Linked DNA regions of Mytilus edulis. The protein of the gene in region 1 interacts with the protein of each later gene in a pairwise test. Links are inferred from orthologs where the notes say so. Each region holds a gene or a part of one and is shown on either strand. Other genes may lie near its edges.

The links.
Region 2: the proteins of serine/threonine-protein kinase LATS1-like (region 1) and merlin-like interact in binary tests that used the Drosophila melanogaster proteins (3 or more experiments, as listed by UniProt). The link is inferred for Mytilus edulis from reciprocal best matches to the Drosophila melanogaster genes wts and Mer.

The regions. Positions count from the first base shown.
Region 1 is NC_092353.1:65,159,035-65,175,782, reverse strand, and holds the start of serine/threonine-protein kinase LATS1-like, read right to left. Parts: upstream 7,541-16,748; 5' UTR 7,226-7,540; exon of another isoform or gene 7,052-7,225; intron 4,254-7,051; 5' UTR 3,979-4,253; coding exon 3,646-3,978; intron 1-3,645. UniProt on the Drosophila melanogaster protein: Negative regulator of Yorkie (Yki) in the Hippo/SWH (Sav/Wts/Hpo) signaling pathway that plays a pivotal role in organ size control and tumor suppression by restricting proliferation and promoting apoptosis.
Region 2 is NC_092349.1:5,675,830-5,692,314, forward strand, and holds the start of merlin-like, read right to left. Parts: upstream 6,833-16,485; 5' UTR 6,654-6,832; coding exon 6,546-6,653; intron 4,344-6,545; coding exon 4,215-4,343; intron 1-4,214. Other genes in the region: replication protein A 70 kDa DNA-binding subunit-like, read left to right, coding at 6,964-6,996, 9,461-9,508, 10,190-10,271, 11,190-11,298, 11,890-11,996, 12,876-12,956. UniProt on the Drosophila melanogaster protein: Regulator of the Hippo/SWH (Sav/Wts/Hpo) signaling pathway, a signaling pathway that plays a pivotal role in organ size control and tumor suppression by restricting proliferation and promoting apoptosis.

The DNA.
Region 1 (16,748 bases):
CCCTTTAGACCTCAATGTGAATCAATTTGATAACCGGTCCTAAATATTAAAAATCTAAATACATGATTAGATTCAGCATATTGAAAAATCCCATATACATGTACATGTATTGAATTTTTGTTGAAATCAAACAAAGTTTAATTTTAAACCCCGAATTGGACCAACTTGAAAACTGGGCCCATAATATAATAAAAATCCTAAGTACATGTTTAGATTCAGCTTATCAAAGATCCCCAAGAATTCAATGTTTGTTAAAATCAAACTAAGTTAATTTTGGACCCTTTGGACCTTAATGTAGACCAATTTGAAAACAGGACCAAAAATTAAGAATCTAAATACACGGTTAGATTAGGTACAATGTATATGTTACAGGGAATTTGTGAAATCAGGGATTTTGTAGAATCACTAACATTTCAGGGAATTTGTAAAATCACTGAACTGATTAGTGATTTTATAAAATCCCTGATTTTTCCTAGTGATTTTACATAATCCCTGAAATAATTAAGATCTTTTTTACAGATTCACTGATTAAATTCAGGGAATTTGTAAAATAAATTCATTCATTTTTATGAAAAATTTCTGTGAAAAAAGTCTACAACAGTAACACTCAATTGGAGGTTAATCTAACCTTTATTTTACTAAAGTTCAAGCAGTTTTCATGCACTATACAACTGATATACTGTAGAGCAATGGCTCAGGTACAGATGTCTTTAAATCAAGAGCATACACACAAAAGTTACTTCAAATAATTGACAGAAAACTAAAGTGCAACACATGGAACCGGGGAAAATATGATGAAATTTTTGAACATGTTATCAATGAGCCACAGAAAGAAGACAAAACAAGCTCTTATCACTACCTTGTTTGAAAAAAAGTTACTGTTTATTATAGTTTTTCTGTAAATACTGTATAAAATAAAACAAATAATATCATTTTTTTTTAAACGGAACATTACATGTAGGTCACAGTGATTGCTGTCATTAGAGAAGAAAAACATGCATGTACAACGTAAGGTATAAGAAATTGAGTGGGTTAGGGTATATGATTTAGTGGCAAATATCTAAAAAAAAAAATGTTAAAAGCGGTATTTATCAGATGAAGATGTTTTAAAAATATTATGTATGTCTTGAAGACACGCACAGCATAGTTCAGAAAATTCACATATCAATAGGTCATGATGGTAGGGATGAAATGGCATTAAAAATGCGCAAACAGAAAGTGTGCAAACTTTAAAAGGAACTATACATCGAAAAGCAGGGCAATTATGTAACAGTGGATGTCACCCAAACTTGCCATGCGAAAATAAGTAAATTCACACTGGTCTAAATATCCTTTTACATGTCTTTTAGTCATTATCATTATACACTAGTTCTAGCTCATAGGTTTAATAAACAAATATATTCAGTAGCGTAGCAAGGTCATTTTTACGTGTACGCCCGAACATCGGTGAGGGGCCAAGAGGCCCTATTGGGTCCAGGCCAATAAACCAGCTGGTAGGAGATGAGCGGGTGCGAAGCCTCCGGAAGTTTAACAGTTATCGAGAATGACATACCATTCCTGTCATTGAAAACTCATATCAGTAACAACATTCTTTAGATTCAAAATGGTTATTTTTTATGTTTAATCTATTCATTGTTTATTTAGAATCGTAAATGAACATGAAATGCTTATTTTTCTGAGTTGTTCAGGTGCAATATTAAAATTAGTAAAGGTCTCTCTATGGAACCCTGGTTCTCGACTGCAATTTATCCCCGCTAAAAGTTTATTCTTGCGCCATACGCGTTTTCCTCCAAGAAAGTTTCATTAACCTCGACCACGGTTTTTACAAAGTAATTTATATGTACCAAATTTTAACCTCAGAATGTAAATACTTCAAGAAATTCCTTTTAAAAATCCATTAATTACGGGAAAATTCATCATATATAATTTCGTCATGATGTGCTGGTAACTCCTTTGACCATAAACAGTTTTTGTCCAGCTATCGTAAAATCATACGAAGGTTTGACAAAGTTATTGATATCTTAAAACTTTACCCACATACTGAACCTACATTGTACATCTACACGGTTATAATCAAAAACAAATGCATACCACATTTCGACTTTAAGTACACAAGGAATTGCTTTAACAAAGGAAAGCGAGTATAGAATTCACGGTAGATTTAGACTTTGACAGAAAATAAACAAATATATAAATATAACACCAATTTTGTCATTTTTATTCGAAATTGCAAGCCATTGAAGAAAGACCTACAAGGTTACTGTTAACCAATTCTTTTACTAATATTTAGATGAAAATATTTTTTTTTGCCAAATTCAAGTGTACGCCCGGGCGTTTTGACGTAAACGTAGCTACGCGCATGATATTTAAAAATCATTAGTGATCATTAGTCTATTTTTATATTAAGAAAAAAACATTTCTAATAGCAAGTTATACTTAATTGAAATCAGGGATTTTACAAAATCCCTAGCTCTATTTTCAGTGATTTTGTGAAATCCCTAACAATTTTAGGGATTTTACAAAACCACTGAAACTGTTAGTGATTTTACAAAATCACTGATTAGCCCAGTGATTTTACAAAATCCCTGATTTTACAAATTCCCTGTAACATATACATGTATCAAAGAACCCCAATAGTTCAATTTTTTATGAAATCAAACAAAGTTTAATTTTGGCCCTATTGGCCAGTAATTCGTTGGGACCAAAACTCCCATAATCAATCCCAACCTTCCTTTTATGGTTATAAACCTTGTGTTTAAATTTCATAGATTTCTATTTTACTTATACTAATGTTATGGTGCGAAAACCAAGAAAAATGCTTATTTGGCCATTTTTGGCCCCTAATTCCTAAACTGTTGGGACCTCAACTCCCAAAATCAATCCCAACCTTCCTTTAGCAATGTTTAGTGGTCATAAACCTTGTGTTTAAATTTCATTGATTTCTATTTACTTTTATTCTAAAGTTATTGTGCAAAAACCAAGAATAATGCGTATTTGGGCCCTTTTTTGGCCCCTTATTCCTTAACTGATGAGACCAAAACTTCCAAAATCAATCCCAACCTTTCTCTTGAGGTTATAAACCTTGTGTCAAAATTTCATAGATTACTATGTACTTAAACTAAAGTTATAGTGCGAAAACCAAGAAAATGCTTATTTGGGCCCTTTTTGGCCCCCAATTCCTAAACTGTTGGGACCAAAACTCCCAAAAGCAATCACAACCTTTCTTTTGTGGTCATAAACCTTGTGTTTAAATTTCATAGATTTCTTTTGACTTATACTAAAGTTATAGTGCAAAAACCAAAAGTCTTTGGACGACAACGACGACACAGACGACGACGCCAACATGATACCAACATATGACCAAAAAATTTTCAATTTTTGCGGTCGTATAATAATTGATTGGCACTGCTGATATAAACTTGTGATATAAGATTCATAAAAATCTGGCATAAATTGTACACTTTACAGATCTAGAGCGCTAAGATGACTGAATAGACAGCATTAGCAGACTGAAACCCAAATATTCCATGTCCCCCGCAACATATTGCATGTGGGAGAATAATGATCCGAAATTATTAATTCCAATTTTGTAGCTACACATGTATATATACATGATATACATTTGTATATGTAACAAAAACTCACATCATTTTTTTCACTTTCATCACTTCCTTGAGTAGATGTTGCACTACTATGGCCATTTTTTTCATCTTTACCATGCTGGAATGGTCTCAAACTGTTGTGAATAGCTTCCATGGCTTGCTTGTTGTAGGCTTTCCGGCTTTTTCCTGGTGCTGATATAGGCTTAATAATGTTTGGTGACATTTCTCCTTCAGGTTTACTTGTTTTAAGATGGTGACTTAAGGCATTTTTAATGTCATTGAGCATTTGCCGACCCTGATTATCAATGACAAGCGGTCGACGTCCACCACGTTCTGGATCATCATTATCATTTCCACTGGTAGAATTACGTATCATATCTCATCTCTTGTTCACAATATAATTAGCTTTCAATAGCTTATCAAATTTGTTTTTTGAAGGACTCAAGTTTTGTAGCATGTTACTTAGTTAAGTTTGTCCAATTTTCCATATTTATAAATCCATTATATTTCTATCACTTCTCATTATAATGCTTTGAATTAAAAGTGTTCACATAATTTGCACTTTGTTACTAAGTATTATCCAACAAAACCATAGACATGTTGAAAGATCCACATATACTCCAATTATTATATTTTCAACATTTAAAGAACCTGAAAGTAAAAATCAAATGAAAATTGTTTAAAAAATAACTTATCAAGAGGCTCCCAATGCAAGAGCCTAAATTGCTCACATTTCAAACATTGATATAACAGGTAGATACTTGAAATAAATAGTTTCTACCTTCTTGTACATTGTTGTACTCAATATATTTTTCGAGATACTATGGATTCATAAGTATTTGGTGGTCCGTGGATACCAATATTCTTGGAAAATTTAGTAAGTAAGATAAACCATGAATATAAATATTCGACAAGTATAAACTTTCTATATAGGCTTGTATGCAGACTTGAGCAAACCTATAAAATCAAAAAATATTCTTGATCTTTTTCATAAAATATAGCAAAACACATTTTGTTTTATTTACTGTAATAACATTGTTTAAGGTATTGATACAAAAATATGCATTACTTGTATACAATTTATGCCATTTAAATCATTGTTCACCTTTTCAAATAAGAAATATTGACAAAAACAATTTTATAATTGCTCTAAACATAAGACAGATTTTTTATTTCTATTGGTGCTAAAATAAAATCAAACTACAAGAAAGGGTGTGCAAATTGTGCAGTACTGCTAGCATGATATATTAGAGAAAATGTCAATAGTGGTTTTGTTTCTGATTCCTTCATGGTTTAAATAAAGGGCTGTCCTGATTTCTTATTTAGTAATCAATTCAATATTTTACTGCTACCCTTAATGAGAATACAACACTGATTAAGTTACTGCTTTAATTTTATACTTATTTTTATATTTTTATTTTGGCTGCCCGGTCTTGATATATGTTTTGTACCATTAAAATTTCAGAACTACTGAATGATTCTGTGCAAGTCAAAATATTTATTTATATTGCTCAGAAAACACAGATCTGCTCTAAGCAGTAATCCTGGTCACCCGAATAGTCATCCTAAGTCCTGGTTTTATTTATTCTAGCTGTGCCTTATTATGACCCCTGCTATATTTTATTCATCAATTTTGTTATCATCATGATCATTGTCCTGTGTGTTCATCATGACCTAATGTAACGGTTATTACAAATACTTTTGGTAGAGTACTTGACAAATCTACCCAGAATAAACTGGGGCATAATAGGAAGATAATGATCCTAGAAGTCTAATTTACAGTCAGAAAAGTCCTGGGCCAAGTTAACCAAGTCTGTCCACAGGAGAAGACAACAAGGATTTTTATATTCTGATGATTAAAACATGACTTTTAGAAGAATTGAAATGTAATCTCCCACATGCTTAGTTTTCTATAAAATCTGGTCACCTAGACACTAAAGAGGTCGCCTCTTCAAGTCACTGACCAGCCCTTTCAGGTACTGCTAAGTGAGATAGTCATTTCTTTAAGGGCCATTTTCTCATTGGCATTCATACAACATCTCTTTATTCTCATATGGTATTTATGAATGATGGCATATATAATAAAGCTTGCATTCAGCAACGATGTGGTAGTGAGCCACTTTCATATACAAATATGTACATGCTCTTGTTATTCTTATGTATGGAATAGACTTTAAAAACATAATATGAGGTAAATATTTTCTGGTACATGTATACGATTGTCTCTTTGGCACATTCCCCATTTCCATTCTCAATTTTATGATTGTTATACTGATCATGACCTGATGTTCAGTGGTTGTCATTTGTTGATGTGGTTCATAAGTGTTTCTCGTTTCTCATATAGGTTAGAACCATATACATGTAGGTTAGACCGTTGGTTTACCAATTTGAAAGGTTTAACATGTACATGATGTACAACATGTACACCATTGTACACTAGTCATTTTGGGGAATTTATAGCTTACTGTTTGGTGTGAGCCAAGGTTTTGTGTTGAAGACTGTACTTTGACCATTAATGATTTACTTCTACAAAATGTGACTTGGATGGAAAGTTGTCTCATTGGCACTCTTACCACATCTTCTTAATATTCAACTAAAAACTGAATATTCATCAATAAGTAAGAAAGACCAATATATCTCTTGCATGTATAAGACATGTACACCCTTGTTACTTATAGATCTGATAAAAAGAGCAGGCTAATGCCATTACAAAGCAACACTTGCACCAGCAACATGAGCAAAGTGAAAAGGGATTAATAAGTTGAAATAACAAGATACCCAAATCCACTATATATAAATATATTAATACTCAACTATAGATTTGATTTGATTTTTGGTGTTAAACACCACTATTAAGCACCACATTTAGGCTATTTCATGGCAGCCAGATTTTATTGGTGGAAGAAGCCGGAGTGTCTGGTGAAAACCACTGACCTTCGATAGGAAAACTGACAATCCTAGTCAATTAAGATTGGAGTAGAGTACACCCGCACAAGTGGGGTCGAACTCACAACCTTAGTGTTGACTGGCTAGTGATTGCAGTAGTACGACTACGACTTCGACTTTGGCAAACGAGGCCCCCTCATCAATAGAAAATAATTGCATAAAATACATGTACCAGCTGATGAAAATTGGCAACTTAACTGCTTGATAATAACCAAATGTTTGGGAACACTGCATGATAAAAATAACAAAATATGTAATGTGCCTGTTTGTTACTGCATGGTACATTGTACTTAAACAGTATATATGATACTTAAATTAATAGGTATTTATACAATGTCAATAAAAATGTAAATATTTGAAGAATATTAAGCAGTCTTTCTGGACAACTTTCTCAAAATACAATCAGTCGTTTTGCTGTGGTGTAATCAACTGTTCCTCATATATTCTTGTTTTTGATATTTTATTATCTGATAAAAAATAGGTAAACGACAATATACTTTAACCTGTTGGTTTTTAACACCTTTTTGGTATCCGCCATGTTGTTCGGATGCATCTAGTCCCATATCAAAATTTGTAACTTCTAGTAAATAAAGTTCGTTACTTTTTTTAAAATGTGTAGTTTCATTTTCATTTTACTTGTTTCTGGTGACACAAGCAGCAAAACAAATAACACTCACCCAAGAATCTCTGTCGAAATCTGGCACTGAATACGGCCACTATCCAAAATGGACGAGTCTAAGAAACACAAATTCCGTAGCAGGTTGTTTGACCTACATCTTTATTCTTAAAATTAACTATGGACGAGTAAATTTATATTTTAGCAGAACATATGATATTTTGAACTGTAAGAAATATAAGTAATAAATTATTTATCTTAGGAGCAAGTAATCTCCAATTGATAAAATTCATGCCGCTCTACCTTCTGATATTTCATTTATGGACTTTTCCATCAAGCTATTTGATTGACAGAGGTACGCCCTTTTTACAGCATTGTTGACATTCCATTATTTTCACGTGACTTTCGTACAAAAATTAACCACGTGTGTTATGTGTGTAAATCGTGTTGCGAATAGCATTTCCACGGGGGCACTGTGCATTTCTCTCTCTTTTCGGCATCCCGTTCATTGAAAGGGAGTTAATATATGTTTTTATCTGGTTGTATAAAAATGTGCCCGCCGGGATCTTCTTCTTAGGTATGAATTACTCCCGGCCGGTATGTAACTGATATGGGTGTCTTTCGACAACTTGGATTGGAAAAAAAACAAAAATCTAAGGTCCAGATTTTCAAACAAATTAGCAAAATTTAATGCAAGAATGCCGATAACTTATGTGAATTTGCATTTGAAAGAACACATTTATAAGATTATTAATATTAATAATTTTGAAAGTGTAGATTATTTTTTGCTAGATTTTTAATGATTTGAAATAGGCATTTTAAAGGGGAGATAACTCTACAATGGTGCATTTTCTGAGGAAATCTTTACTGTGGAATTTAGTTATTTTGTAATTTAGCTTAAAAATACACACGGTGACCCTATCTTCTCTTTTGATATTCTCGATGCATTTTCTTAAAAATATCTCGTATTTTATTTACAATTCTTAGTTTAGCTTCTAATCACATAATCGGGTGTTTTTTTCCTGTATAATCCATACAAAATTTGCCATTTGTCACATCCTGTAGCTTGAGAAAATGTACGGTGACTTTAAGATGCTATTTGCCGGTGCCGTCGAAATAGCTAGCGATTTATAATATAGAGTTTTTCTATTTTATAAAAAATAAGATGAAGTATGATAGCCAATGAGACAACTGGTCACAAGAGACCAAAATGACACAGACATTAACAACTATAGGTCACCGTACGGCCTTCAACAATAAGCAAAGTCCATGCCGCATAGTCAGCTATAAAAGGCCCCGATATGACAATGTAAAACAGTTCAAACGAGAAAACTAACGGCATTATTTATATAAAAAATGAACGAAAAACAAATATGCAACACATAAACAAAAGACAACCACTAAATTACCGGTCTTATTTCAGATTTTTAATCATGGCAAGACTATATGAAATATATTTTTAAGGGAAACTATTCATGTACAAAATTTATATGTGGCTAAATGTCAATTAATAAACTTTTTGTTCGCCTTGCCTTCCTAGTCATAATCAATTTTGGTGAACTGCACTCATTTAATTACATGTACTGTGTTTTTGTGAGATGTATACATGTTATTTTTATAGACGCCTGATTAAGCGGCTTTTGTCATTGTTGAAGGCCGTACGTGACGTATAGTAGTTAATTTCCGTGTCATTTGGTCTCTTGCGGTGAGTTGTCTGATTGGAAATCCTACCAAATTTTCCGGTTTTTTTTTATACATACGTTAATTTCTGTTGAACATTGAACGTTCGAAAATGGAAAATTTGTTATCAAACAAACTTGATTTTCAAATTGATATGAAGAGTTTAAGCCGGTTTTGGAGTACTTTGAAACGTGAAACATCGACTATAAAATTCATGAAAACCAGACAAAACTTTAATAATAATTAATGTATTGTCTATGGTGCAATAAAGTATTATAAAATAAACACACAAATATTGTACACACAATGCATAGAAATCTAGCTATTCAAACAGCATTTATTCTATGAATTTTGAATACTGAAATGTATAACCGAGCAAATTTTGCATAAGTGATGCTGACGCAAAAAAATCGTTGAAGTATTATGTTAACTTCATGTTTGAAGTGGCAGCACCTTTATGGTGCCAGACTTAGAAAAAAAAACCACCAAGAAGCAAGACACTGGTTTTGTAACTCTCGTTAAGCAGTTTGAGTTGTTGGGTGTTACTTTTTGTATCAAAACTAAAAGGATATTTTTATAAGTTTGTATCAGAATGTCGATTTTTTTACATGGGTTCGTATGCTTCTCTTATGTATATTATCAGAGACGTATATTCTATATTTCTCTGGTATTGTATATTTTTTTTAAAGATTTTATTTTAAAATAGCTTCTATCGAAGAAAAAAAGTACTTGTATCAATTTTAATGCGTTTACTTTTAAAATGTTTTAAAAAGACTGTACAGAATATCAAATTTAATATGCACGATTTGTATTTATATATGTATAAAGAAGACTGACATAGTTGTATGGAAATTTCTTATTGAAGTGTATGTTTCTCTTTATTTCTATACATGTACTTCTATTTTACTCTTTATTAAGACCGGCAAAATAGCAAAATTCTTTATAAACAGCCATTTTGCCGGAGCCGGCAAAATAGCCACCGCCTTTTTATTATATTTTTGAACATATCGATAAATGCTATGTTTTAGCATGAACAAATTCTATCATTTTTAATTTAGACTCCCATACCACCTTAAAGTGCGATACTTGCCGAGCTTTTTAACGGATAATTAAGATTTAACTGTTGATATGGATAAATATCATAATACACGAGGTTTGTGGTGAATCTGTTTCTCTAATTTTGCGCTATATTCACATATAATAAAATTGCTGCATTAATATAACACATTACATACTTTTACTTTGAAAGGGAATTCATTACCTTGCATTACAATTACAAATTTGCATTACCCCATGACTGAATCATCATATTAGTAACAAATGAAAGCTTTTAACGACCTTGACTGGCTATACAGCCCTTGCACGGTTGGTACTAGTAATACTAATCATCTACTTGAGAATGCTCACTACTCTGTTTCAAAATAACAACCTTTTTTTTTCGAGATATAAGGTATCGAAAATTTGGCGAGAAATGATTCTCTCTAGATTGTTCCTACATAGAATATTGGCACCATTAAAAAAATCCAAAAAAATCAAAAGTTTGGAAAATATGTCTTTTTTAGATATATGCACTAAAATTGCGAAAAAAGATGTGGGTAATTGAGCATAACTTTTAATGGCGTTTTATGAATGAAACTGGAGGATTCCGAATATCTGGCAAAATAATCAAAAACAAGAGAAGAGAATTTTAAAATTCTTAAGAATTTAGATTCATTGAATCACATCGGATACTGTGACATTTAAAGACCGAACAGTATAGAAATCAGGGGTTGAAAAGGGGCCACAAATATGCTTTTTTCTAGTTTCCAGACAACAACTTTTGGAACGGTGTATGGATCACTCTGAAATTATACCACAAGTTTCCATACCACAAAGGGATGCTTAGGCTTACTTTGGGGATTATGGCTCAAACTGGTTAGGCATTAGGGGCAAAAGAGAGGAAAAACAAGGGTTTCCTCGTTAATGGTTTCCTGGTACTTTTGATAACTATATTCCCTCAGCTTTAGTTCAAGTTGTAAGAGGGATTTTTTTTCTCAATCGACGATTTATGAGTTTCAAACAGCGGTATACTACTGTTGTCTTGATCTAAAAGCAGTGTAAGGGAGGTAATCCAAACACATTAATTTACAATCCAAATTCAGACTTGTATGTCAGATATCAAGCTTGTATATTGCGTCTATTTTTGCGACCCCAACTGTTCAGGCTTGAACTTCGGTCGTATCCAGCTGCGCTCTGCGGAGCATTTATTTTTTATGATTGTTGCAGTTTCATGTAATCGTAGCAGTGCCTATAAAGAACAGTACATTTTGCCGAGCTTTTAAAAAAGCTAATAATTTTTGTAGTAAACCGGCGTAAACTTAGTGTAACAAAAAAATCCGATCGCCTCTGTTTCGGAGATTGATTAATGAAACAGCCATCTTGAATATTATTGGTCGCCGTATCCACCCCTTTTTGTGTATTTAGAGCATTTCAACACACTCATTTGGGTCAGAGAAGACCCTTGGTGACTCCTGAGTGTTCTAACCATATAGTTAGTCAAAATGTCAGGACAGAGTATTTTAGATCGCATGACTGCGGCTAAACACAGCCTCTCGGGCCAAGGGTTGGCCAAGGTTGTATGTAAAGCGACTACAGAAGAAGTCATGGGGCCAAAGAAAAAACATCTGGATTGTAAGTAACCCCAAAATTAGCGGTTACTGTATGATGACATGGCATAAATAAGGAAGGATAATTGTGTTATTATTTGACCTGAGTTTGGGGTGATGGTTGGTATGCAGCTGGTGATGATAGGGTACATTTACCATGACAACTAAAGTATAAATAATTTAGTCCCTTGTTGGGTTCTGAGGGTGGACAACTTAAACAATTTCCTCAGAATAAATTGCCGTAGGGATATTATTCTCTATAGGTCCATGTTTGCAGTTTGTTCTCTTGAAAAACCATTTACCATCATGTCCATGGGCATGGATTCATTGGCCCTTACTTTCAATAATAAGCCTAGCATCCTCCAGAACTGATCATTATTCGAAACGGGCCTTCATTTAAACACACACTTTCACTGGATATGTGTTGTCAATGATGTCATTTCTGTTATGCTGAATTTAAATGTCCATTTGTATTAATTTCCTTGAACATGTTGAAAACAATTGTTTTGGAAAACTTCATGTGTGTGTAAGATAAATTGCCAGAATGCAAGGTCTTGGTTCCTTAACTGGATTGAGCCGTGCACTTTTTTTCGTCCCTGCAGAAGATGATAAAATTAACAAACAGTCAAAAGTTTCTCTTGATACGGTCCACTCAGGTACACAGTTTAAATAACCAATTATTGTCAGGTATCTATTGTCCATCTATTGTCCATGTCAATCAAAATAGCTCACTTCAATTATTATCTGTGGGGAAGTTCTCAAACCTGTTTCCCAACTTAGTTTATTTTGGCACCTTCTGGAGGAATGAAAAAAGTGCACAGCAATATCCTTGTAATTTTTTATTTTTCTTTAACATTAAACACATTTGAAATTTATTTATCTAGGGCATGCTATGCCTGAAATTTTTTACAGATACACAGGTTTGTCTGTACTCAGAGTAAATTTTGAGGTGAAAATACGACCATTTTAGCCATAGGGTCCACATGAATCTTAAACATACCAGATGGATATTGATTTTATCAGGGTTTTTTTTTAATTTTATCTGCAAATGAGAACCTGTGGAATGTAAATAAATGTTTGTTCATATCATGGAAGAGATTCTTTGAACATTGGATTAATATCATTGATTAAGAGTTTATTCTTTAAAAATACATGAGTGTCTGAGATTTTTATACGATCGCAAAAAATTTTTTCGTCGTCTGTGTCTTCGTTGTTGTCTGCGTCATCCGAAAGCACATTTGGTATTCGGACAATAACTTAACTTTACATGAATGGATCTCTGTGAAATTTAATAAGAAGGTTCAATAGCCTTTAAAGTTTAAGGTAGTTTGGGATTGATTTTGCTGAAGATGGTCTCTACCGTTTAGGAAATAGGGGCCCAAAAGCCATTGAAAAGGGGCAAGCATTTTTTTTTAACTTTCAGGATATTAACTTGTGTGTAAGTATTTCAATTGCTCTGAAATTGTACCACAATGTTTATTACCACAAGTTGAAGTATTGGATTTATTTTGGGGCCAACAAGTTACGAGGGTGGTAAAGGGGGGGGTACTTGCACGAAAAAAAAGTTGAACGTGAAATAATTTCTTTAATGAACGTTGCACTAAAAATAAATACTTTTAATAATATGTGAACCTTTTGTGACTGAATCACTGTCTTCTTGTATATATTATAGCGAACCCTATGATAGTTTTCCATAGATTCACCTGCAAGTTACCTGTCGATTTAAACTTTTGTAAGTTCTATTGTCCCATCTAACAAATACAACAGGTATTGTTCTCTGTATAGTTCATTCACCAAGACCTTTAAATTTCTTCTAGGAGAAATATATCACTCATTGATTAATTTACCTGACCAAAAAATTATCTGTTTTTTTATTGAAATACTTCTATAAACTCACATAAACTGTATGCAATATTGTATTTATTCAATATACTATTAATATATTTTCAATCTGTTCAATATAAAATCTGATTTAATAATAAAAAGTATATTTTAGACACATTTTTTAGTATTTTCCAAAGAATTTGCATGTTTTTGTTGTTGTTAATTTATAGACTATGTTTATGAAGACCTTAATTTAAAAATAATAATATTCAAATTTTTATTTATCAAACACACAAAAATATTTATTGAATATTTGATCAGAAATCAACTTTTAATTTTTAAATCATTATTAATATTGAACACATTAAAAACAAGTTTTTGGTTTTGAATAAATTACAACACCACATGCAGTTTTGTGAGTCCTTTCTTAGTATTGGTATAAGTATTTTTTCATCATTGACAGTTCAATTTTTTGTTCAGGTAAATTAATCAATGAGTGATATATTTCTCCTAGAAGAAATTTAAAGGTCCCAGTGAATAAACTACACAGAGAACAATACCTGTTGTATTTGTTAGATGGGACAATAGAACTGCCAAAAGTTTAAATCGACAGGTAACTTGCAGGTGAATCTATGGAAAACTATCATAGGGTTCGCTATAACTCTTTGTTTTACTTGATATTCCCGATTTAGTATACAAATTTATGATATAATTGGTTTACGGTTTTTGGAAAGTATTTCTTGACGATCCCTGTCAAGTGTTTGAATTTTATTTGAAAAATACCGAGCACGCAAAATAAGACTTTGAAAATCACAATGCACGTAAAATTAAATAAGCAGAACACGTTGAACGAGGCACCCGTCTTGCACGACTGAACGTCAAATAAAAAAGTATAAACACGTTGAACGTGAAATAAAAAAACGGCGATCACGTTGCACGAAAATAACCCTTTACCTCCCTCAGTTATGAGTGAAGGGCTAAAAAGGGGCTTTTAAAAAACATGCATTTTTGTATTTTCTGTACAATAACTTGTGTGTAAGTGTATGGATTTTTCCGACATTGTACCACAAAGTTTCAAATCACAAAAGGAAGGCTGGGATTGAGTTTGGGGGATACTGCAGGAATTAGGGGCCAAAAAAGGGCTAAAACAAGCATTTTTCTAGTTTCTGGACAATGACTTGTGTTTTGAGTGTTTGGATTTCTCTGAAATTGTACTACAATGGAAAGGGTGGGATCCATCATCCAGTTTTGGCAAAACTTTTGGGTTATTGCTCCAAGGGGGATTCAAAAAGTTAGGGGTTGGTCAAATTTTGTTAAAGGGTTCAAGAAGAAATCTTTAATTGTACATTATTGTGCAATAAATTTGTAATCCAAATTCAGAGCTGTAGTAAGCTTGAATGTAGTGTCCACACTTGCCCCAACTGTTCAGGGTTCGACCTCTGCAGTCATATAAAGCTGCACCCTGCTTTTATTTATAAGAGTCTAAAGTAATTCTACATAATTCTGATCTAGAACACATGTTGGGGACTGTCTTTTTCAGTCTCAATACTGCTTTACAAAATTTAAGATGAACCTTCTCAAAAGGAAATTTTCCTGCCAATGCATGTCTTAGTATCACAAAAAGTATTATTTACAGCAGCACTATTGGATGACCTAAAAGGTGACTGAAAATTATCCATAAACCAAATTTCAGAGTTTTATGTCAAAAGAGTATCAAATAGATTTATATGACAAATAGTCCATTTGCCAATTCCCGTATTTGACCCTGTATTTAGAGATCCCTTTTTTAGTTGCCTCCCTTAGGAGTGACATAAATTTTATTCACAATGTAGAGCTAGCAGAAAGAGCAAATTTACCTGTGTGTAATGTATGGTACAATGTATCTTTAAGGTTTTCAAATCTTTTGATTACCATGATTACATTCATTTGTTGTTTGCTGAATACTTTTGTTATCAGAAATTATTTTTCGTGAAAAAATAGTGAAACCGATACCTTTCTTTCAATTCATTAGTTTTTTCATTGACAAAAGCCAATTTTGTCCTGTATAGAACCAGTCTATGATTAACAAAAGGGAGTAATTTGTTTAAAAAAAGTGTGTAATAAAAGAATCAAATCCGTTATGAATTGGCAAATGGACTATTAGTTGGAAAAATTAAAATTGGATATATATTTTCTCAATAGAAATAAAACTTGGATATCAATGGATTCTTCAGCATGCCTACCTTTCCCAGGTTATATGTAACCTATTTTCATGCTCTTATTTTGCAGATTTAATTCAATGCACCAATGAGCCAAATGTTTCCATTCCACAGTTAGCCGATTTACTGATTGAAAGAACACAACATACAAACTGGACAATAGTGTTTAAGTCCTTAATTACGATACAGAATTTAATGAATTATGGCAATGAGGTATGTATCACAAATAACTTAGATATGGTAATTGTATAACTTGATAAGGATCTATGATGAAGAAGGATCCTCTTACCATGTTTACGTAACAAAGATGGGTTTTTGACCAGATTTTCTAAGAAGAAAAATTAATTTGGGGATGTACTGCAATCAATGTCCATTTATAAACACAAAAAGGCTTAAATGATATTTTTTTCTTATTGTATATATTCAGTGATATTGATATGTTGTTTCCTGCGACTAAATGAAGGTCAATTTTATTTTTACATTACAATAAATAGCAAGACACTGTACATAGACAAACAATAATTGAATGGAAATTTATATTGAAATTAGAAAAGGTGAAAATTAATGTGAAATTGGCATATTATAGCATGGTCAGCAATTGAGACTTGAAGCAGTTTCTTATATTTAGTAAAATACTAACTCAATTTCACATTTTACTTAATTATGATTATAACAATCAATTGTCATAACTTTTGTCAATTTTCTTTTACATGTATGAGAGTAATGTTTTGGTGTGTAGGATCTGTGTACGATTGATCGGAATAGGTGTATCCTGTGGGCACAGTGACACTATGACAATAAATACAATTATATTTTATTTTATTTCAGAGATTCACACAGTATTTGGCCTCCAATAACTGTACTTTTAACCTCAATAACTTTATAGATAAAGCTGGAGTTCAAGGTGAGAAAAAAGAAACTCAAGGTGATTAAAATAGCCTAATTGCTGTTGAAAAGTGTACACTTTATCTTACATAAACAGACAAATTGAGCCTTTGAAGGCACTTACTGTCTGTGACCATCCGTCCTTTAACTGTCTGTCGTCTGTTGTCATCATCTGTTTAAAGAAACACTTCCTTACATTTCCAGGCATAATGTTACAAAACTTTTCCTGTGTGCTTCTAAAGGTATCTAGCTTAACATTTTGTCTTGTGATTTGCTCTTGCAACATATATGGTCACTGTTGCTTAAACAAAACAAAGGGGATAAAATACAAACTGAAGTAATTGGAGCAAAA
Region 2 (16,485 bases), on another chromosome or scaffold:
GTGTCCATAATACATGGATGCCCCACTCACACTATCATTTCCATGTTCAGCAGACTGTGAAATTGGGGTCAAAAGTCTAATTTGGCACTAAAATTAGAAAGATTATATCATAAGCAACAAGTGTACTAAGTTTCAAGTTGATTGGACTTTAGCTTCATCAAAAACTACCTTGACCAAAAACTTTCACCTGAAGCGGGACGAACGGATGATGGATGAACAGACGGACGGACTCACAGACCAGAAAACATAATGCCCCTCTACTATCGTAGGTGGGGCATAAAAAAACATAATGCCCCTCTACTATTGTAGGTGGGGCATAAAAATTACCCAAAAAGCTTTAAGGTAGGCTATTTCTAAGCTTAGGTATGGAAAACAGAACACACATATTTTTTATTTGGCCTACTGAAACCACTTATTTCTTAGGTTTATTACTTTCAACAATTTATGTTTAAATTTTTTTATTGATAAAATCTTTGCTTTCACTGTACAGTGTTCTCCCCAGGCCGTTTTAGCGCCGCGATTTTCAGCGCTATTTCAATTTCCCGCTGTCCTATTGCACTTACCGCAGCGCTATCCCACTCAACTGCGTCGCTATATTTTTTTTCGCATTTTTTCAAATTTCCCGCTTATTTTACTCTTCGGATCACGTGATTGACTGGTATACGATTTTTGAATGAATTATTTCCGTTGTATTAAAGTAACTCCGCGGGACCAGTCTAATACAAAAATGCGTCTTTGAAAGATCAAAATAAACAAAGATTTCGACATTGACATCTATTTTTTCAATTAAAAGATTATATAGAGGCATATATGAATGAAATGAGATGAAATGAATTGACCGCATTTCCCGACGACACTCACAAACTTGTTTTACCAACTTTAAACAAACGATGATTTTAATCAAAGAGCTGATAGCTCTGAAGTGGAAGAAGGTGAATAAAAGGTAACTTGAATTACCATAAAAGCAGCCCCACTTACCCAGGCTGCTTTGTTCCATTATCGTTAAAATGTATTTTTTTTCTTCAAACAAGAAAAGGTCATAAGTACATGGATTTCCCATCCGTACAACCATTTACTATGTTCAGTTGACTATGAAAATTAGGTAAAATCTTTAATTTGGCAGTAATTAAGAAGATCATATCAAGAGGAACACATGTGTACTAAGTTTCAAGTTGATTGGATTTCAACTTCATCAAAAACTACCTCGACCATAAACTTTATAACCAGAAGCAGGACGGATGGACAGACTAGAAAACATATTGCCCATAAATGGAGCATAAAAATAGTAAGACTTGTTACATACCTGCCAACTTTTGAAAGTTCCCATATGGGTTTTTACTGCACAACAACAAAATTAAAGGTTACAATTTTTAGCGATGTATTTTGCAAGATCTGGATTGTCTAGAAAAAGTGTCATATTTGTATGAACTTACATGACTTACATGCCCTTTCCTTAAGTCTGTTTGCATAATTCTAGTTATATAGTAAATCGGTAGAAAAATTATACATGAAGCTAGCAGAAGCTAGACTATTAGCCTAGTTGCACATATTGTATGTTGCCTTCTAACCAGTTATAAACAAATTTAATATATCAACTTCAATTTAATCCTTGAAAGGAGGTCTAAATTAATAAAATAATTTATAAATTTTAATTTTTTTATTTGTCCAAAATCATTTAAATTCATTTAATCAACATCCTTTTATGATTATTTGATTAAAATATTAATCATTTATAGTCTTTTTACCATTTACATTTTTAAAAGCAAAATAACTGAAAACAGGATAAAACAAAGGGAAGTAACAAAAAAGTATTTCAATATTCCCAATACACATCGTTTTGATAACACAACGGCAGTTAGCCGGAGGTAAACATCGTTGATTACCAGTATGTTTGACACCCAAGCTGTCAAGTGAAGCCATATAATTATACATCTTCTTTGATGTTCAGGTAAAATTTAACACAGGTGTCAATTACACCCGTACAGTAGTAAGAAATGATCAAATATGGCGTCTGAAAAATTTCATACACGGGAGTTTTTTCTCCTAAATGGGAGGTTCACATGTATGTTACGAAGGGCATCTAATTCACATGACAAAGGAAACCCATGAATAAAGATAACACTTTATATATCCTTTTTATTTATATAAAAATAAAATCTTCTTGTCTGCAGGATTGCAAATTCGTAACTTCAAGGGCGAACTTGTAAACAGGGCGAGTTGTACCGATACCAAATTCACGCATGCGTAATACAAATATCTACAGTAAAAACATCCTGTTACAAGTAAACAAATTACGTTCATGTGGATGAGATGAAATCTAATAATTTACATAAATAAAAGGGTCATATTTACGATAGTGATTGTTTTACAATCATAATTTACAAATTAAATGATTCAGATGCCCAATCATGTGTAAAAATCGGTGTCAGGAATCTAAGTTGTTTTGATATTGTAATACACGAAATGAATGCGGCATACGGAGACTCAAAGCCAATGGTCGGCCCCTTAAGTCTTCAGAAGACTTGACGTCTTCTTCCACTAAAAACGATCAAACACCGGGGTTTGTTACAAATTATTTGCCGAGTTTACTATCCATACGAACCCCGAAAATGAGCAAGTCTTTGAAGTATTAATTATCACCTATTCAAACTTATAATTGTTTAGTCAGAAATTCTACCATTTGAAAACAATTGAGAGGATATGATTAGAAAAACAAACCCCAAGCTGATACGACTTGAGAAATTTCACTTTCTCGATGTTCAGCTTGGATGAGGCCATTTAAATATTATAAAACTTTAAGGTCAGACAAATGAGAAATCTTTATGCTAAAAAAATGTCAATTCCTGTCAAACGTCGTAAGGTAAAGACGGTAAACTGTACACTGCTACAGTGGGTTACAAAACCAAACAGAAGCTGACAAGGACTTTATTGTTGGTCCTACATGTTCTGCAACATTACCTGTTAGTGCTAAGAAATCTTCACATAGGTAGTCTGGTGTAAACCCATCATGGAAAAAGACTTCTCCTTCAGTTTTATACACTGATAGTATGAGGATTTAATATATGAATTTACAATGGAGGAAAAAAAAGACTCTTCTTCTATATCATGTGTATCCAGACAAAAACATTAACAAACAAAGGGGTACATTGTAACTATCATGAGCATGATGAGGACATCATTACAAGAGAAAACATCAATAGCATAATATAATAAAAACACATCAAATCAATTACAAACAAAACGCGCGCCGCAATAAAGTTACTGAGAATTGTCGAAAATTACGCGCTTACCACAGCGCTATCCAAAAATCCTGGGGAGAACACTGTCACATGTACATTTATCTAGAAATATACTGTAAATTCAGAATTTTTTGCCAAAGTTTTTTATCAATGCAAATAATGTCATTACTAGTTGATTTAATACTGCAATAATTAGAAGTTACTTGTATTCTGATATCAGATATATATATCTGTAAGCAGCGTTTCCTAAAATTGCAATAATTAAACTTACATTTTTGTTCACTTTTCAAAAGTTGCAATAATAAATGGGTGCAAGAATTTCTGAATTTAAAGTAATCTAGCTTCATTGCAGCACAAACTAGATGTTGCAGCTAGAACACAGTAAATGATAATATGGCTGTTCTAATTAATCGTAGTTACATGTACATGAAAATAATATTTAACTTCTGCACTTCTTGTCTATAATCTTCATGATGTTCATCTTTTCATCATGTTAATGTTTTTGTGTCAATACACAATATACTGCTATTCTAATAGTGATAGAGTGAATACCAGGTGGCTGATTGTTTCAGTTAAAAATATATCTTGTTGGTCAAATTTTTGTATTGAGTAAATTAGCTTGATGATACAGAGCATAAAATTTGAAAAAAACAAACTAGATATCATTGAGATGGAAGCCATCTCTGTGGGCCCGCTGTGAATAATGTGTGGTAAAAAATGTGTATCTTTATCATTAAACATGGGGTTGTCAACTGAAACCGATGATTTTGACCTTGATGATGATCTTTGACCTACGAAGTTGTACATAAATTATGACACACCCTCTGGTGTTGTATAATATACATGTCAAGTATAAACTTTGAAATCATAACAGTTGTCTAGACATAGAGTGGACACAATTTGTTATGGACAGACCGACGTACAGAATGATCACTATAGGGCATTCGCCATTCCGCAGGGCCCTAATTAAAATACCTTTTTATCAAATTTGAGCCATGCTATATATCCTTTCGTGTCAACATACTGCAGACCAAAGTACCATGTTTCTCTCAGACCAATTGTTCTACACACCAGTTCAAATAAATCTTTGCCTGTAGCCTTGTGCTAAAAATAGAATAAAACTTAATGTATGTCTAGTATGTACTTACACATTGATTAAAAGTTTATTTTATATTACTTTAAGGTATCTTTTTTTCATATTTTGTCAATGCTTGTTTGTTTTTTTTAATTCTGAAATAAAGAAGAATCTTTGTTTCCTATTTATTATTGATTTTACTTTTTTGAACGTTGATGATCCTGAGGCCACTACTAAACTTCTTAAAGTATGCATATATATTTCCCAACTCATTTGCTAAGCATATCAGCCAACTTTTCAAAATGTCGAAGTGGGTTTTATGTTCAAAATGGCTCATTTACTCCTACAAAACCTTCAAGGGGGCCTTCAAATATATAGAGAAGTAACAAATCAAGATATTTTATCTTGAAATTGTAGATATTTTAAGTTTAATATGTATTAATAGAAAAACAGGTGACATATTTTTTAAAACATCTTTTTAATTATAAATCCACCAAAAAGGCAATGACAAGTATTACAAGAACGGGTCAGAATTATTAGCATGTCATTGAACAATCAATGCTTCAATATGTCCATGTGTTTACATGTTTAAGTGAATTTCAAGAATTTATACCACACCAATATCTGAATAAGTTTCTTAAACTTGAATGCCATTAGTATAAATATATTAAAAAAATTTGTAAGGGTTCCGCGGAACCCAGTGTCTTGCCTACTCTTTCTGTTAATCTCAGGCTCAACAAAAATGAGGAAATAAATCAATGAAATATTCCTGTTGATACTATCTTTTGATTGTAAGAAGCTTCTGTCCAAGTTTTGTAAAAATCCAGGATAGTTTATGAATCTTATAAATGTTTAAAATCTTTAACTGCAGACTGAATGTAATGTTAACTGGAAGAAAACAAAATTTCCTTCTAGATACTAGCTTTTGATCATAAACAAGTTTCTGTCTGTCCAAGTTAAGAACAAATCCAAAATAGTACATGTATAAGAAAGTTATTAAAATTTTAAAAAGTTTAACCACAGAGTGAATGTGTTGTTTCCTGGCAGCAAATCTAAGTCCATTTAAAAGTAAAATATGAAAATATAGATTTAGTCATTTACAAAATTTCATTCCTGATACTAGCTTTTGATCATAAACAAGCTTCTGTCCAAGTTTGGTACAAATCCAAAAGAGTATAAGAAAGTTATTAAAATTTTAAAAACCACAGAGTGAATGTGTTGTTTCCTGGCAGAAAATCTAAGTCCATTTAAAATTTAAATTCGGAAAAATGGATTTATTTTTTTTACAAAATTTACTTCTGGATACTATCTTATGATCATAAACAAGCTTCTGTCCAAGTTTGGTACCAACCGAGGATAGTTCAAGAAAGTTATTAAAAAAAATTTAAAAACCTTAACCACAGAGTGAATGTAATATTTTCCTGTAGAAAAACTAAGTCCATTTATAAGTAAAATACGGAAAAAATGGAATTTTATTTTTACAAAATCTACTTCTGGATACTATCTTATGATCATAAACAAGCTTCTGTCCAAGTTTGGTACCAACCGAGGATATTTTAAGAAAGTTATTAAAATTTCAAAAACTTTAACCACAGAGTGAATATTTGTGGACGACGCCGACGACGACGGAATGTATGATCGCTTAGTCTCGCTTTTTCGACTTAAGTCGAAGGCTCGACAATAAAAGTAGAGAGAACGAACTCATGGCAACACACTATTCAATAATTGAAGGATTGCTAGAAACTGAAAGATTTAACTCTTGATGTTTTAACACCACTCCACTTTTAAACACAGCTTTTGAGCTATTTTGTGGTGGCAAGTTTTTATTGGATGAAGAAGCTGAGGTGCCTGGAAAAACCCGCTGACTTTCAATTGGAAAACTGACAATCCTAGTCCATTAAGATTGGAATAAGTACACCCGTACCAGCCGGGTTCAACTCACAACCTCATTGTTGACTAGTAGTAATTTTCAGTAATAACTACGGAGACAACTCTGCCTCAGAGATCGCAGAAACTGAAAGAAGGTGAAAGACTCTACAGGTGAACGAACACACCAGATAACATCTATCTGGGTACGAAATGACTAATTTTTAAATAAAATTATGTGTGATTTGACTTCAGTGTGATATATATGTGTTTCCTATTACTTAACTAATTTAGTAGTTTTACAAAATATCATGTCAGAGACGATTTATCAATCAATAACACACAGTAATGCTCGAAATATTCACCTCCACAGTCGTGAAATCAAGTTCTGCATCCATTGTTGTCACTTTCACAGCAAAACTTTTTGAGCTACCTGAGGCCTGAGCAGCCTTTTTCATATTAACAAAAGGCATTGCGGCGTTTAATAAGTCTATCGACTAATCTAACACTTTTACATGGTGCTCATAAAACGAATAACCGATCCCTTTCATCTTCATCTTTCACATTTATTCAATGTTTTCATTTTTCATTTAAGTTTGAAATGCTTTACAAGCCACTGCTAATACCGTTCTTGTAAAGCGCTTAGATGATTGCATTTAAAAAACCGGAAAAAGAGGTACAATTGACGCATGCGTAGTAAGCTATATATTTAGCGGGAATAAGCAATCATCAGCAAATAAAGCAGAAAGCAGTCACAGCACTTTCACAGAAAAACAACACAGAATGGCACCAGATCTAACATCGGGTGCTATTGAGGTTAATCAAATTTTGAAGAGGCGAATAACCATTCAACAATCCCTGTTTAAACTTTATGTTATCATGTCCTTCTTTCAGTTACAATGTATAATTTAATATAGATCTTATAAGCGATGTCCGCCGATGAGGGAGTCCCTTCTCTTTATGGTTAGAGTTAACCGTTAGGTGAGATGTGTACTTTAGGTTTAAGTCAGATTTAACATTCTTGATGTCGGATACACATGTGCCTACACCAGCTGTGCTGTGGAGTCGTATGTGACATATATGTCCTTGATTTAATTGATGCAAGCTTCTTTATCATAATTGCTGTATTTCATTCATCCCAATGGGTCCTACTAAAATGTGTCCGGGTAAATAAAAGCGCCCGGGGAAGAAAAAATAGCGCAACTTTGTGTTGATAAAATAAGTTGTGCACATTATTTTTTTTTTAATTTTAGACAAGTAATTTTTTTGTAATAAAACAAGTATGAATGTTTCAATTTTAACAATAATATAATTTATGAATACAATTTCGAAAGACTGATTATAATGGATCACAGTTTATGCGGAAGATTTATAAAATGTAAGACATCAAAAGGCATTGTTTTTCAAAAACAATATCAAAATGAAAAATGTAAAAAAAACGACTTAGATTTCACAGATTAATATATTAATTTAATCAAAATTAAAAGAGTTACACATAATACATCAGCAAATAAAGCAGTACTATACATGTACCGTAGTTAAAACAAGGGGGTAAAAAGCAGGAGTTTGGTTTAAATTTAAAACTAAGCATTAAAACCCTGATAACCATAGCCATTGAAACAGTTTTAGTTTCATAAAAAAGATATAATAAATGTATATCAGCATCTGCATAAAAAGTGTTCTCCATGCAGTTGCGAAAATATAAGACTTCAGGCATCATATCCACATTTATATTAAGGACAAAATTTATTTTTTTTAAATTATCATTGCATAACAATATATTAATGTATCTAGGCACTCATACCACATCTTCCTTTAATCTGTCTACATATTATACTTGCTCTTAATTGAAAAGTATTTAGACAGTCTATGTGTTGTCTTACACTGTTTTTTTTTAAAGTTTTGAGTGACCTCTAGTATTATCAGATGGTGCTGGGGGCTAAAGTAAATAGGCTCATCCTGTTGATATTGTGACAAATCTGGACTTATTATTGTTATTATTTAACGTATTATTTATTGTATATGACATATATTTATTTGAATATTGCCGGGTGGTCAACTTCTCTCGAGTGCACAAACACTGATAAATGCATTGACTTTCATACTCATGATTTAAACTATTTGTACTTTGCAAGCGATAAGGGTCAGTTTTATATGTATATCTTGGTAATGTTTACCTATGAAATACTTTGATTATACCGTCATACAGTGATTTATTTTGACAAATATCGTCGTGAGATTCAACTTGTTTACATCTGCCACGACACCGTTTTGTACTTTCACTTTGCGATCTCACATTATCATTTGTTTAAGTTAACACTTTGTCAATGCAGATAATTTGCGTATTTATTATGTTTGTGCCTCCCTTTTCATTAACATTGTCTTTATTTATGATAGAACAGGGTTTTCATTGATCTTATTTAAGCATTATATCTAATGCGTAAGGTTATGTAAATTACACCCAAGTTCATACGCCGTACCGAGAAAGGAATTTACTGTCCGTTTAAAAATAGCATTATGTAGAAATGTCCTTTTAGTTTCATTTGCTTTTAAACATAATTCGGACAAGAAGGACAAAGTGAGGACAACTTAATAATGTTTCTTTATCTAAGAATAACGAAATCTGTTTGTCTTTCTAAACGTTACTAGCCAAAAGACGTAAGAAACGTTGCTTTTGATTGGATGATTAGATGTTTACTCTAACGTCATAGTAAGTGCCAAAAGACATAAATAGGAGCCTGTAGACACACATGTCATTCTGAATCAATCTCTTGAACCGTCAACTACCTTTTATATTGACCACCCGATTTATTGCTTTATCTGTTGAATGATGAATGTGTATTTGATGTTTATTATATTGAAAGAAGAAGTCAAAAAACTGTTGAAATAAATATCATTGTTATGTTTATTACAAATCTGTTTCTTCACACTGCCGTCGATTCCACTCCTCCTGAATGATGGTTAAACAGTTTATAGTAACCCTAGGTTTGTTACAATATCATCTATACCATGGATGATGCATAGACTCCAGTCACTCCAATATCTGTAAAACTTATATACTTAGATAAATAAATGTCTCAAAAAAATTTATCGCCTTTTGGTCATTCAATATATTTTTTACTGTTTTCTATAAAGCAATCCAAGTTGGATAAAATTCCTCAGTGTGAAAACTTTTGGATGAATATCTTAATGACTTAAAAAATAAACTTAAGCTCCTTCGTGCAATTGTAAATCCTATTGTGCTATAACTTATAAAGTCTTGTGTGTTTTCTTTTTGTAGGCTATAGTTGGTGGAAACAATTTTGATAGACCTGTCTTGCAGATTATTGTAAGTATGAAGACACACTAGTGGTCTCAGGCTTTTTTATGCTCTTTCGTCGGGTTGTCACTTTGACACATTCCCCTTTCATCTCAGTCTTATTATTTACAAAAGGGGAGTGGGAAAAAACCCAACTGATAACTTCTCTTCTTATGTATTAAAATGTTCTATATTCAGGTATTAGATAAATCTACAAAAAAATTGAGATGTGGTAAGATTACCAATGATACAATGCAACTATCCACCAGAGAAAACAAAAAGGAAGTCAAATAGGTTAATCTATTACACATTTTCCATGAATATACATTTCTTCTATAAGAAGATTAGAATAAATATTAACATTAAATTTTCTGACTTGTCTCCCCTTAATTGGCTGAGAAAATGTAACAAAATTTATTTTGTATTTGTGAATAGGACATTATGTAATGTGATTTCTTCATTTTGATGCATCAAAATATTGGTTTACTTTCCTTAACTTTAGTGTTTTTGTCTTGGGATGAACAAAAGTCTGAAATATAAATGAAATTAGTATGATGACAAATTTTGGTCTTTTATCTCTAAAACTAATTTTGACAAATGAGTAAATCAGATTTTCAGGAGCTGCTTAGTCTTATCATAAATTAAATACTTTAATATATTTTTGAAATTTTGATTTCATTTCTTCTCATCAATTACATTTCTATTCTGCAGAGCTCAAAGAAAATAACAGCAGCAGGATCCAGTGCAGATAGATACAGACTCCTCCTATCAGATGGACTTCACAGTTATTCACGTAAATATGTGTATATTGCATATGAGTAAAATCACAAAATTATTTTCTTATCTTGTACAATTTCAAAAGGCTTTGTTAAAATTAGTTTGGAAGAAGTTGTATGTACAAAGTATAAGGTAGTGTTTGAAAGGTTCAAGCCTAAAATAAAATATTGTTTGTTTCCCCCATCCCGACCGACTCTGCAAAAACAGTGCTACTCATAAAATTTTATTGTCAAAACTAAGTCAAATATTATTTTCATTTCCAATATCCTGGCTTGCCGGATTGTACGATATTGTTCAACCTTTTTGGAAAAATAAAATTATTTTCCTACCTACCTACCAACACCTGGCTCGGCAGGGTCGGGAATGGGGAAACAAACAATATATTAATTTAGGCCTCATGATTTCATCATTTAAATTAAGTTCGTTTAAAAGGAAGATGAAGAAGGCCTTTCTAAAGTATTTATAGAAAACTGAAATTTAATTCAGATTTTTAAAAAAATTATCTAAAAGTTTTGACCACCAAAATCTTACAAAGGATAAACTTTATTTTGGTATTTCACTATAGAAATAATAGTGGGGACCAACAGATCTTTTTGAAGGACCACCAGAGAAAAAAAGATTTTGAATAATCTGTTAATTGAGATTGTTTATGGTTTAAAACATGTATGTTTAGTTTTCCATTTAGTTGTACATAGAGTATAATTGGTCAGAAAGGTATCAATGCCTTATGAAGTACCAGAAACCAGTAAAACCAATAAAAAAGAAAATCTAAAAAATCAGCAGTCTGTAAATTCTTGAATTAGGACAAAAATGACACAAGTTAAAAATTTTTACACCTTTGCCAACACACATTATACATTCATGTATACATATATACATTACACACATGTGAATACAGGCAATATTTTAATACCAAGACATGTAATCATTTTAGATGCCATGTTGGCCACACAACTGAACAACTTAATGGAGTCGGGGGAGATGGATAATTTAGCAGTGGTACAAGTTGACAAATATTTATGTAATACAATCCAGGGAGACAGGTATTATTTTGAATACTGTAAATTCAGAAATAAATTCGAGGTTTTTTATTGTGAAAAATGCAACAAAGTTGTAAACGCAATAATTTAAACTCTCATTTTGAAATATTTTATATGTTACTGCAAAAGTATATGGTGAAGATTAAATTTTAATGCCAAATGTTCAGTCTTTACCTTAGATAGTAGAATATTGGCCTATATAGCTGTTAGGTAATTTCATTGGAACATTGACACATATATTGTAACAAAAGTTGCAACAAAAGTTGCTAAATTTTAGGTGTTTAATAGCACAATTCTACTATTTAACATTTTTGCAGGTTTTACTGTTTTATAAAAACAGAAAAAGTCATTGTATTACATTCTTTTGGTGTTAGGTTATTGGTCAAATCATGGAACATTGGTTTAACTTCAAATGTGTTAAGTCAAAATAGTTGTTTTTGGATTTCCCGACTCAACAGACCAGAAAAATCATTTTTTGAGTTCTGCTAAATACACTTATTTTTTGTTTGGCTGGAGTGAGCAATGACCAGATGAAAAAGTAGATACTGGTCTTATGTAATCGCTTGTGATAAGATATTGTTCTTTATTTTGTAGACGTGTTTTGATACTCCTAGATCTTAATGTTTTAGCCAAAGGTAGTGATGTAGGAGTGAGGCTAGGAAACCCTCAGCAGTTTAAACCTGGTGAGGCAAGAAATGAAAGTAAGATTTGAGTTCAGAAAAAAACATTACAATATTTTAAGAACCAGGAGATGACAAAACAAGCTAATACCTGTATTGATGATGTCTTTGATTTTTCTAGGGTATGGTCCAGCAGTTAATTGCTACTGATCTTATATTGATACATACTAAAAAGGTCATCCATTGGTTGCCTTGGGATGTTTTCTGCTCTCTGGTTGGGTTGTTGTCTCTGATAAATTCCCTGCTCCCATTCTTTATTGTATATATTGCTTTCATCAAAGTTAACAGTAGTGTTTTTGGTTTGATGTAACATTGACTCATAACCAATATCTTATTATTTATATTTATTTAAGAAATGACTGTAAAAAAAAAATTTGTCTGAAGAAATAAAATCAAAAATGTGGTGCACACTGAATTTTTAAAGTGTGCACCACATTTTTTATGATATTTCGAATAGACAAAAAAAATATTACAGTCATTATAATTTAATTCTTAATTCCATTTTAAACCTGAGTAAATCATGAAAAAATGTTGATGCCATCAATGTCACATGACAAAATTATGTCTATGAGCTGATAAACTAAACAATACCAAGTCAGGAGCCTCTGGCCTTTGTTAGTCTTGTATTACTTAAATTTTAGTTTCTTGTGTACAATTTGGAAATTAGTATGGCGTTCATTATCACTGAACTAGTATATATTTGTTTAGGGGCCAGCTGAAGGACGCCTCTGGGTGCGGGAATTTCTACATTGAAGACCTGTTGGTGACCTTCTGCTGTTGTTTTTTCTATGGTCGGGTTGTTGTCTCTTTGACACATTCCCCATTTACATTTTCAATTTTAATGTCAGGCAATCGGAAGACGCTTTACATCCAAAATTAAATTATATTAATGTATTGTAGATGCAGCACAACCCAATGGACAGCCTGTAGCACAAGCACAGTCCCCTGTTAAAAAAGAACAACCATCAAATACATCAAATGGTAAGCTATTAAACATGTTAACATTGTACTGGACCATCTGACATCTATTATGAAATGTAAAAAAAATGTTTATATTACTGAACAATTATGGTGGAAGAACACTAGAAAAACCAAAGAGCTATCAAGCCCGCTTACTGCCTATGATGCCTGTCAACAGCTATTATTATTGACTAGATCGATTTTATAGACATTCTACATTCAAAATAGCTGTCGTATTTCAAAGTTGCTGTCAATCAGTTATTTTTGCCGTCTGCAGTTAAAATCGTCTTTCCGCTCGGCAGATTTGACCTTTACCTTTTAATCCCTCTGATACCATCAGATAACGACGGCCCTTTAACAGACGTCCGTTTAATTAATTATAAGAAGTTAAATCTCGTGATCGATATCGTGAACGTTAACGTTGTTAAAGTTATTACAATAACTATATAAGTAATGTTTATATGTGGTATTTCTTTCAAATTAATACAATTATCATGAATGCAAATTTTAATATTTAAGATTTAAAATTAACCGCTCAAAAGAATTGAAAAAGTCACATTTGTTCTTTATATTCTTAATTACCACAAGTAAACATCGTCCAAAGCTTATGAGTTGTTTTCAAAAGCAGACCTACCTGAGTTTAATTCACATCAAAGGAAACCACCTTAATTAGTAGGAGCGGCTATTTGTCAATTTCAATGACAGTGTAATAAAAAAAAGTTGTATAATGAAGGAATGTTGAAATAGTTAATTGATTTATATAAATTAACATTATTGAAAGGATTCATATTGCTGAAGTCGTACATTTAATCATACGTTTAATATAAAGATATTCAATTGAAAGACTTAGTATCATTATTAACAATTTTTTTTCTGTTGCTTTAGGTACACATATAGGTATGTGCGCATTTAACAGGCACGCGATTTTTTTTATGAAAGTGTTTTTTAACATTTCATAATTCGGATTCAAACATCAGATTTGAGTGAATTATATAGACCGAATAACCTAAATATTGCAATAAATCACATGCCTGTTATTTTCTTGTTTTACAATTGTTTGATTTTTTAATTTGAAATTGTTTACGTTGACTAACAGTATCGTTTTATGATAGAACAGAGCAGACTTGTCTTTATTTGACTAACATTATTTTATTCTGTTTAGATTAGAATGCATGTATATGTAGCGTACAATATTCAAAAGTATTACCGAATATAATACGGAGATGTTCATGTGAATGAATAATTAGTTAGTGTATTTTCCTAGGAAAACATCTTCAATCAGATGCAATCAAATAAAGTTAATATATTACATGCTTTCTTTTCCCTAATTGGTTATTAGAAGCCGAGATGTCAATTTATCAAATTTTATGTCAGAGGCTCACAGTTTACAGACATAAAAAATTGAGAATGGAAATCGTGAGAAATATAAATATTTTAAACTCTATGATTTCCACAAAGAAGTCTACACGAGAAACCTATTTTATACTGAAATATTACAGAAATCTTTTCAAACTCCTTCATACACGTATATGCTTTCTATAGTTCTACTATCATAGTATGCACGTTGTATTACTTGCTTTAATAATTATTTACTTGAATCTTGCCGGAAAACTCTATTGTTAAAATCTATTCATCTGTTCTTTGGTCAAGACGAGTATAATATCCATGAAGAGAAGTACACGAAATAAACAGAAACTGTTTATATTACTTAATTGTTTGTGAAAAAGGTTTTAAACGTAATGCGACATTCCCGGTATTTGTTTTAATATATAAAACCCCCCCCCCCCCCAAAAAAAAAACATGCCCCACCTACACCCACATTTGATTGGTCCGTGTAACAATATATACTATTATTGCTTATTTCTAATTGGATCAATTTGATGTGGAGGTGTGAACGATAGACTATACAATACACACTTTCAATTAACAAAACCGACAGCGTAAAAGGTGTCTAGCCGTTAAAAACTTCAGTCTTCGTCACTTCCGAAAAGAAAGATAGAACTTAGTCATTCCTCAGAATGCGATTATAACATAATGCTTATCAAACACTAACTGCAAAGAATAATAGTCCAACAACTTTATGTATAAAGGAAAAGTACCAATTAATAGAGAAAATGGACTAAAAATTAAAAGTTTCCAGAAAGACGGGCCTACAATAAATGTTAAATAAGTATGCAATTGTGTGTCATGTAGTCAAGCATAAATCGATGGCCTGTATTTTTTTACTATGCACATATTGTTTTATTTTTCAACCAAAACCGACGTGTGTATTGCTGTTAAATAAACTTTCGTCACCTCAGAATGTATTTTGCATTCTCACACCATTCACGTATATTCTTCAATCATGTTACAATAATCAGTGAAGTTTATGTTCAGTTACCAAGCGTAAATAAATCAAATGTGATTATGATCCACAGTATTTGGACCGTATGCGTATAATCGTACGGTCGGACCGTATGAGTATACGCGTACGGTCCAGTACGAGCTGATCATATGGGTTAAATTTAAACAAACCTTATCACAATCTTTATTTTTAGTTTTACAAATTGATATTATTTGTATTATTGTTCCGAATCCTAGTTTGGTACTCTCGCCTACAGTGACACTTGCTACCACAAGTAACGTAATTTCGGAATTTCTCGCTACATTGGTGACCTTCTGCTGTTGTTTTTTCTATGGTTGTGTTGTTGTCTCTTTGACACATTCCCCATTTCCATTCTCAATTTTATTAATATTTTTTTTAACATTTACATGTTTGCAGATCATGCATGTTCCTTTGAATTTGCATTTTTTTTGTAAAGTTGCTAAATATTAAAAAAAAATGTCCTCCTACATTGTGTTTACTTCCGAAATCTTCATAATTCAATTAATGTATTACTGATCGACATGCTAAATACAAGAGATTGACATATTTAATTAGCGTGACTTTTTTGAATAGTTAAAATGTACAGTTTTTATTTCAATTACAATTGAACTTTTTTATATTAATTTGAGAGTTAAGTTATGCTGATCTGTTATACGCATTTGTAACTAATAAACTTGACTAATTTCTTAATTTTAGTCAGACACATTCCCCATTTCCATAATACAATACAATCCTACATAAACGTACAATGAAGGAAAGAAGGAGAAAACAAACAAGATAGAGACGGCAGAAAAGAAAAAACTTGACACGGTCCGAGCGTATGAGTATTTTCAAAAAGTATGCATACGGTCCACATTGTACGCGTACAGTCCAAAAACTCATACTGTCTGGAACAATTATACTGTGATGCCTTTTTAACGTTTAATGGATAGAGGAAATAGACAAAAGGAGAAAGAAAAAAAGTCAAAAAAAAAGTTAACATAAACTTTTGTCAGGCGGTTTATGTCGGACAATGTTTGGTTTCTACTTCTATCTAGTTGCTGTGGAAATCAGTTCATGTCACACAAAAAAATATAATATGATTTTATTGCTTCTGTATCTTCTCATCTAGAGCAGAAATTAACCACTCTTTAACTGGCAGTTAATTAATACCAGCGTCCACATGATCTATGTAAACTCACCAGA